2 linked regions of the Macaca fascicularis genome follow. The protein of the gene in region 1 binds, or shares a complex with, the protein of each later gene. Links are inferred from orthologs where the notes say so. Each region holds a gene or a part of one and is shown on either strand. Other genes may lie near its edges.

What was found.
Region 2: the proteins of PDZK1 (region 1) and AKAP10 are in contact, whole or in part, in a crystal structure (PDB 3TMH), measured with the Homo sapiens proteins. The link is inferred for Macaca fascicularis from reciprocal best matches to the Homo sapiens genes PDZK1 and AKAP10. Residues at the interface, in NP_001188254.1 of Homo sapiens: Asn386, Gly387, Tyr388, Gly389, Phe390, His391, Leu392, Asn393, Ala394, Ile395, Arg396, Phe402, Lys404, Tyr436, Glu437, Val440, Ile443, Gln444; in NP_009133.2 of Homo sapiens: Pro655, Leu656, Glu657, Lys658, Ser659, Thr660, Lys661, Leu662.

The regions. Positions count from the first base shown.
Region 1 is NC_088375.1:113,700,791-113,705,268, reverse strand, and holds the start of PDZK1 (Na(+)/H(+) exchange regulatory cofactor NHE-RF3), read right to left. Parts: upstream 3,110-4,478; 5' UTR 3,011-3,109; intron 1,075-3,010; exon of another isoform or gene 964-1,074; intron 1-963. UniProt on the Homo sapiens protein: A scaffold protein that connects plasma membrane proteins and regulatory components, regulating their surface expression in epithelial cells apical domains.
Region 2 is NC_088390.1:19,691,062-19,694,870, forward strand, and holds part of AKAP10 (A-kinase anchor protein 10, mitochondrial), read right to left. Parts: intron 2,921-3,809; coding exon 2,363-2,920; intron 1-2,362. UniProt on the Homo sapiens protein: Differentially targeted protein that binds to type I and II regulatory subunits of protein kinase A and anchors them to the mitochondria or the plasma membrane.

The sequences.
Region 1 (4,478 bases):
AAAATATAAAAATTAGTCCGGCATGGTGGCAGGTGCTCATAATCCCAGCTACTCGTAAGGTTGAGGCAGGAGCATCACTTGAGCCCAGGAGGCGGAGGTTACAGTGAGCTGAGATCACGCCACTGTACTCCAGCCTGTGTGACACAGCGAGACTCCATCTCTAAATAAATAAATAAATAAATAAATAAATAAATAAAAAGTTATCCAGGTATGGTGGCGTACACCTGTGGTCCTAGCTGCTTGGAGGGGCTGAGGTGGGAAGATCACTTGAGCACAGGAGGTCAACGTTGCAGTGAGCTATGATTGCCCCACTGTACTCCAGCCTTGGTGACAGTAAGATCCTGTCTCAAATTAAAAAAAAAATAATAATAATAAATAAATAAATAATTATAAGAAAGAAAAAGAAAAAAAATGGGTGGCAAATTAAGGTCAGTCATTCATCCTCCCCCCCACCACACCAGGACCATTTTGGTGCCCCTACTCGTTGCCTCCCCTGCTCACCACCACCCTCACTCAAGCCTTCTTGACAGCTCCCTGCCCTTCTTCCCTTTCAGCCTGGAGCAGCTGTGTTCTCTGTCCTACTTCTAACCAAAACCTACTCTCAGGAGAAGACTTGGTACCTTTCTTTATACTTGAGAGGACATTCTGTCCTTTTATCTTCTAGTTATTCTATCATCAGTCCTTTCCTTATTATGAATTAGCAAACACAAAATCTTTGTTCCCCAGGGTAAAGAAAAGAATTTTAAGAGGTGGTTTTTCTCAGCCCCCTCAGCACCCTAGTCTATTTCTAACACCAACAAGACAAAACAAGGGAGAGGAAAGGAGAAGGAGATGGAGGACCAGTTGCAGGAGAGAAAGGAGAAAAAAATCCACAGTGGGGGTGGAGGAAGATCTCTGACTGCTTAACGACCCATCCTGTGGTTTTCAAAGACTGAATATAACAGCTATGAAAGTGTGAGCAATGACGAAACTGGAGAGATGGGGTTTTAACAAGATGCAAGAACAATCTGAGGACTGAGAGCCATTTCAACGTGAGCCCCCAGCCTGAGAGCAAGAAAGAACTTCTGTCTGGAGGTAAAAAGATCTGTTGGGGACCTGGGGTCCAGGTGGAGGGACGGGATGGTTGACAGAACTGCTCAGGCAAGGACAGGCTTCCCATGAGGTCCCTGAGAAACCTGCCTTTTGGAGGGAACTGTCCTCTGTCCTCTGGACCCTGGGGAGAAGGTTATTTCTGCCTGCCAGACCAGCATGCTCGCTCTTCTTCCATGGGCATTCAGGGATCCTGGCCCCACTCTGACATTCCTCAAATGGAGGAATTCCTCAAATTGCCAGAGGAAAGTTACCAAAGTTTAGATCAGCGTTCTGCTGGAGCTCTTCAAGGCCTGGGTTGAGACAAGCCAGGAGGCGGCCCGGGGCTTGGAGCTGGCCCTGTGAGGCACCTCTAGGGGAAGTTCACGTCCTAGGTGGTTCACATCGTGGACCTCTTGGAGGTCCATGCATAGATTCATTCATGGGATTTGTGAATTTTTGGGAAAAATACATCTTTATTTTCACTAATCTTTAATTGAAAGTTAGCACTTGCTTCAGTTACGAATATAGACAGTGAACCACAATAGAATTTGCCATCAATAGAAAACACAAATATTTTCAAATCTCATTACAGTTGTTATAGATTTCTCCAAATGTCATTAACGCTCAGCACTACTGCAGAATTACAACAGTTACTAGGCTGATACCAGATCTAAAGAAGCGTGTGTACTGCTCTATCACACATTCTTCTCATGTTTTGACAACTGTCTTGTCATCATTTGTTCCCTTTATTATCCCATGTATCTTATTAATTTTTAAATGTTATTCTGAGAAGGGACTCCATATGCCTTCCCAGACCACCAAAGAGGTCCACGGCCCCCTTTACGTCAGGCGCCTGCTTTGGTGTGTTGAGCAGGAAGCCCAAAATCTCAGACAAGAGCTTCAAGGGCCCCCCAGCCCAAACCTCTGTTTGCTAACAAGTCTGGTTCTACTTTAAGGCAGTTGGGGTTGTGGAGATAGAAAAAGAAGCGCCTTCACAGCAGCAAACGAGATCTTTCTGGGCATCTTTTTCAGTGTTGTGGGAGATCCGTATTCAGAGGTATTTGTGGAGCTCAGAGCTGACCTTCCAGCTCCTCTGAGAGGTTAGATCCGGGCTCCGGTGACAGAGGAAATGGAGTCTCTTTCTTGCCATCTTGTCCCCATCCTCCCCAGAAAACCTCTGGCAAAGCTTTATGTGTCATCTAACCATCACCACATTCCTGTGAGGGAGCTTTAAACACAAGAGGAATGTGAGACTGAGCGAGGTCCAGCAATGTGCCACAGGTCACACAAAGCTTGAATTTGAACCCAGGAGCCTACGAGACTCCAGGACCCCCTCCGGAGGTGAGGGAGGGGAGAGTTTCCTGCAGTCTGTGAGCTGTTGCCTGAGAGAGGCCCCGGGCTCTGGGGCCACCAGCGCAGCTCGGGAGCCCCGGGGAAGATCAAAGGTGAGGATGCCAACTGCACGGGCACCCACCCCCGTGCCCGCGCTGGGGCTCACAACGTTTTAAGAGGGGAGACCCGCCCCTGGCGTGTAGTGGGCCCAGAAAATTCCCAGACTTTTCACGACCACCCGCTCTCCCCCTATTGAGGGCCAGGTGCCGCTCTAGTACATGCTGCGTCCCCAGGACCCACCAGGCCCAACTTTGCACCCCCTCAACTCCCCTCCTAGTTTAGGCTTTCCCTGTCTAGCCCCCATGCTCGCCGGATGGTCCATGGCTGGAGTGACCAACGCAGGGCAGGTTGGGGTCACTCGGCTTTGGCTGGAAGGCAGCGCCCTCTAGCGGCCAGAGTGCGGAATCAGCGCCGCCGGCTCCGCGCTGCCCGGCCTGCGTCACACCAGGGTACTCCCCTCCCGGGCACCAAGGTCACTTCCCAGAGCATCCTTGCCCAGTGACCCCGCCTCCCCCCAGCGCTGGTGAGGGGCCCACAACAGACTTACACGCTCTTCTTCAACTCAGCCCTAGGCACCGCGAAGCCTGGCCACTCCAGCGGAGTGACCGGCTGCATCAGCCCCTCCGAGCCTGTCTGCCTGTCCTCTGTCTCCTTGGAAGCGGTCCCTACCCTGCGCCCCTCCCATCCCGCTGCACCAGTCCCTTAGGAAACACGCCTAGAGAAGGGACACGACCTTGTCAACATTCCATGGCTATGTGGTGCGGAGCCAGGACTGGAAGGAAGCCCGATTTCCTCAGCCCACCTTAATTCACCAACTGTATTTTTTTTTTTTTTTTTTTTTTTTTTTTTTGAGACGGAGTCTCGCTCTGTTGCCCAGGCTGGAGTGCAGTGGCCGGATCTCAGCTCACTGCAAGCTCCGCCTCCCGGGTTCATGCCATTCTCCTGCCTCAGCCTCCCAAGTAGCTGGGACTACAGGCACCCGCCACCTCGCCCGGCTAGTTTTTTGTATTTTTTAGTAGAGACGGGGTTTCGCCGTGTTAGCCAGGATGGTCTCGATCTCCTGACCTCGTGATCCGCCCGTCTCGGCCTCCCAAAGTGCTGGGATTACAGGCTTGAGCTACCGCGCCCGGCCATCCACTGTATTCTTTAGGCACCAGCTCCCCAAAGCCCACAAACATCTATGAAGGCCTAAGTCCATTGCCATCTTGTAGCCTTTCCACATCACTCATCCAGAATTTCTCCTTTCCTGCCCCTTGATACTTTATAACCTTATTACTGTTCTTAGTACAGTCGTTCTTGTGTTACAGCTGTTCGTGGATGAGTGGCTGTGAGGAGAGGGACAAAGAGGACTCCAAGAGAAAGACTCTCATAACTTGGGTTAGAATCCTGCTCCCCAACTTAGGAGCTGTGATTTTAAGCACGTCGCAAGGCCTCTCCAAGCCTCTATATGCTTCGTGCAAATAATAAATTTTAAAAAATAATAATGGCTTAGTGTTTTATAACGACTAAACACAGTCTTGTAGGTAGATGTGCCTGGAACACTGTCCATTGATTCCAATATACGAAAGCATAAAAATAATCATAGCTATCATTTATTGAGCCCTTACTCTCTGCCAGGCATTATGCTAAGTAGTTTACACAGGTTACCTCATTTGACCCTCACCACCCTAGGAAGAAAATATTTTGTCACCATTTTATAGGTCAGTAAACTCATTTTCAGAGAGGTTAAGAAACTTGCCCAATATTACACAGATAGTGTCAAAGCCAGATCTCAAACATGCTGGTCTGACTCTAGAGACCATTTAACCACTAAAACATCTTTGCCTCTGCTGTGTTAGTGATCTCTCTGTGCCCCGTGGTGCCTGACACATTATAGATGCTCCGTGTTTCTGAAATATGTCTATTTATTAAAAGCTGAGCATAGTGCCTGGCCCAGGAGCCTAAGAAACTTGACCAAGTCATGCAACTATTAAGTTTTCGGACCAGGATTTGAACACAAACACTCTGGCTCTAGA
Region 2 (3,809 bases), on another chromosome or scaffold:
AGTAGTATTCTGGAATTCAGAATTTTGGAAGGTTTTACAGGGACAACACATTAACAGAAAGCATATTAATTAACACTCTAGCACCTACCTGGGACAATACCCCATAATCAAAAACCATCATATTTCTGCAATAAGTACAAACTTGCACTCATATAGGATTAGTACGAGCACCCAAGACAAAAATTCAGTTTTAAGTGGTACCAGAAGGGTAGTGACACAGGCCCCAGCTGCATGGCAAAAGAGAATGCAAAACACCTGAAATAACCTAATTTATACAGAGTACATAGAGAATTCCCACAGATAAAAGTCCAAGAAACATGTTCACGGCCAAAAATCACTAAAATCACAAGCCACCAAGAGTCTGAATCTGAGGAAACAAAGAAATGCTGAATCAGGTCCACAAAAACTGTAGACAGTAGAATTATCAGACAATAAATACACATTTAATAAAACTAAGGAAATAAAAGATAGGATCAAAAGTGGGATGAAGTGTGAAAGGAAAAAGAAACTACAAAAAATGATCCATAGAAATAAAAAATTCAGTAACTTTTTTTCTTTTTTTTTTTTTTTGAGACGGAGTCTCGCTTTGTTGCCCAGGCTGGAGTGCAGTGGCCGGATCTCAGCTCACTGCAAGCTCCGCCTCCCGGGTTTACGCCATTCTCCTGCCTCAGCCTCCCGAGTAGCTGGGACTACAGGCGCCCACCACCTCGCCCGGCTAGTTTTTTGTATTTTTAGTAGAGACGGGGTTTCACCATATTAGCCAGGATGGTCTCGATCTCCTGACCTCATGATCCACCTGTCTCGGCCTCCCAAAGTGCTGGGATTACAGGCTTGAGCCACCGCGCCCGGCCAACTTTTTTTTCTTTGTTTGAGCTGGGGTCTTGCTTGTTGCCCAGGCTGGTCTCAAAACTCCTGGGCTCAAGCAATCTTCTCACCTTAAGCTTCCTGAGTAGCTGGGAGTACAAGTGTGTGCCGCTTCACCCAGTTTACAATAACTTTGTGATGAAAATAACATGCGGCCAGGTGTAGTGACTGATACCTGTAATCCCAGCACTTTGGGAGGCCGAGGCAGGTGGATCACTTGAGGTCAGGAGTTCAAGACCAGCCTGACCAACATGGTGAAACCCCATCTCTACTAAAAATATAAAAATTAGCCAGGTGTGGTGGTGGGCGCCTGTAATCCCGGCTCCTCAGGAGCCTGGTTGAGGGAAGGAAGGAGGGAGGGAGGGAGGGAAGGAAGGATGGAGGGAGGGAGGCAGGAAATAACACACTGAAAACTTGATTCAGTAGCAGATTAGACCTCATTTTAGTTCACTGAGAATGAGCGAACTAAACATCTGAAATCACTTAGCCCTTTGAGACACAAAGAACCCTTAAGATGAAAAAGAAGAACATGAAGGCTGTCTAATCAAAATCCCAGGTAATAATTAAGAGTATAGAATTTCTAAACTAATAGAGAAGAAAAAAAACAGGTGCTCTTGTCAAAATGCTTCTAGGTCCACATTTACTGTACAACCTAGGGGAAAGTTATCAAACCTTTCTAAGCCCTGGTTTTCTCATGTGTAAATAAGATAATCATGCCTATTACCTGCACAGAGGTCTTGTGACTAATAAATAAAATCCAAATATACACTAAGCACAGAACTTTTTTTTTTCTTTTGAGACGCAGTCTTGCTGTTACCCAGGCTGGAGTGCAGTGGCGCGATCTCGGCTCACTGCAAGCTCTGCCTCCTGGGTTCATGCCATTCTCCTGCCTCGTCTCCCAAGTAGCTGGGACTACAGACGCCCGCCACCACGCCCGGCTAAGTTTTTTGTATTTTTAGTAGAGATGGGGTTTCACCGTGTTAGCCAGGATGGTCTCGATCTCCTGACCTTGTGATACACCTGCCTCAGCCTCCCAAAGTGCTGGGATTACAGGCCTGAGCCACCGCGCCCAGCCCTAAGCACAGAACTTAATAAATGTCATTTATTGGCCATTTTAAAAATAATTTTTAAAAATTTTATCTGCAAATTGCAGTAAAATATTAATAAAATTAAGACTGAGGGAGGAAATAAGGCTATGTGGATAATGGTTTGATTTCAAAATCAGTGGAGGAGAAAAGTAGGACATTTGACCCTTCTTCATTTACTAATTCTGGTAACACACTTCTTAGAAGGTCCAGTCACTCCAGATATCCCTCCTGCTCCTTTTCCATACACTGATCTGACTCTACTACACTCTCCAAATTCTCCCAAATTTACAAGTAGTTAGAGGAGGAAAAAAAAGATTCCAATCATTTTATTCCTCATCTGAAGTTCTGCTTTGTAAATTAAAAAAAGAAAGTGAGACACACACGTACACACAAGAAAATCACATACTCACTTTTCATTAGTTTTCCTGACAATTCTTTTAGCGGAGAAGCAGGACTATTTCTACTGGCTACTGTAAGTGTAGAGGAAGATTCTTGGGTTTCCATGGAAACTTGATGAGTTCCTGCTCTGGCCCTTTCAAGATGGAGAGAATGGGCACTGTCATATTCCTGGGAAAGCAGCAAGTGATTCTGAGTACTGTTAGTTCTATTATTCAGTTCAATTCCTTCTGAATGAGTCATAAACAACTGTGCTGAGCCGGAATCCTCCAATCTCTTGTCAAGAGAATCAGTTAAAAAAGCTGCTGTAGTTTCGTGCTGTTTAGATGGAGAGACAGGCTCAGCCAGTGAGCTCTGCTTCACTGTGTTTAGACTGTGTGCTCTTATTCGCGACCAAGTTGTTGAGTGAAAACTTTCAGCCTCTAACCAAAATTTCACCAAATGCTCCATTCGCCGAAGTTCCATGAATTGAATGAAGTAAGGGAGGACAACAGTGTCGTGCAAGACTTGTTCAAGGGTCTTAGAAAGGCTTGATTTGGTCTCTTGAGTCTGGTAGTCCAGACAAGATCTGCCTAAAAGATAGAAGCAAAAGAATTAGCAGTTCGGCAACAAATAATTTCAGATTGACAGATTAGTCAATCACTTTTAGCAATAACTGGTACCAGAGACCTTGAATAAAGTTTACTTCCTACCAACTAAAATAAATTTAAAAAACTACAAATACTATGCTTTTGGATTCTAAACAAAGTACAATCCTCCAAAACTTGCCTAAATTATTAAAAAGTTCTTTGTAACTCAATAATTCTCATATCTCTTTTAATGGCAATTCAGATCATGCAAAAAAATTTTTTTTTTTTTTTTTTTTTTGAGACTCTTCACTTTTGTTGCCTAGGCTGGAGTGCAATAGCACAATCTCGGCTCAATGCAACCTCCACCTCCCGGGTTCAAGCGATTCTCTTGACTCAGCCTCCTGAGTAGCTGGGATTACAGGCACCCGCCACCACGCCCAGCTAGTTTTTGTACTTTCAATAGAGACGGGGTTTCACCATGCTGGTCAGGCTGGTCTCAAACTCCTGACCTTCGGCAATCCATCCGCCTCAGCCTCCCTAAGTGCCGGGATTGCAGGCGTGAGCCACCGCACCCAGCCCAGACCACATAAATTCTTAAGAAAAAAAACTTATGATACTAGTTCCAAAGAAAAGGGGCCAATAAAAATATTAAAAACTGGCCGGGCGCGGTGGCTCAAGCCTGTAATCCCAGCACTTTGGGAGGCCGAGGCGGGTGGATCACGAGGTCAGGAGATCGAGACCATCCTGGCTAACATGGTGAAACTCCGTCTCTACTAAAAATACAAAAAACTAGCCGGGCATGGTGGCGGGCGCCTGTAGTCTCAGCTACTTGGGAGGCTGAGGTGGGAGAATGGCGTGAACCCGGGAGGCGGAGCTCGCAGTGAGCCGAGAT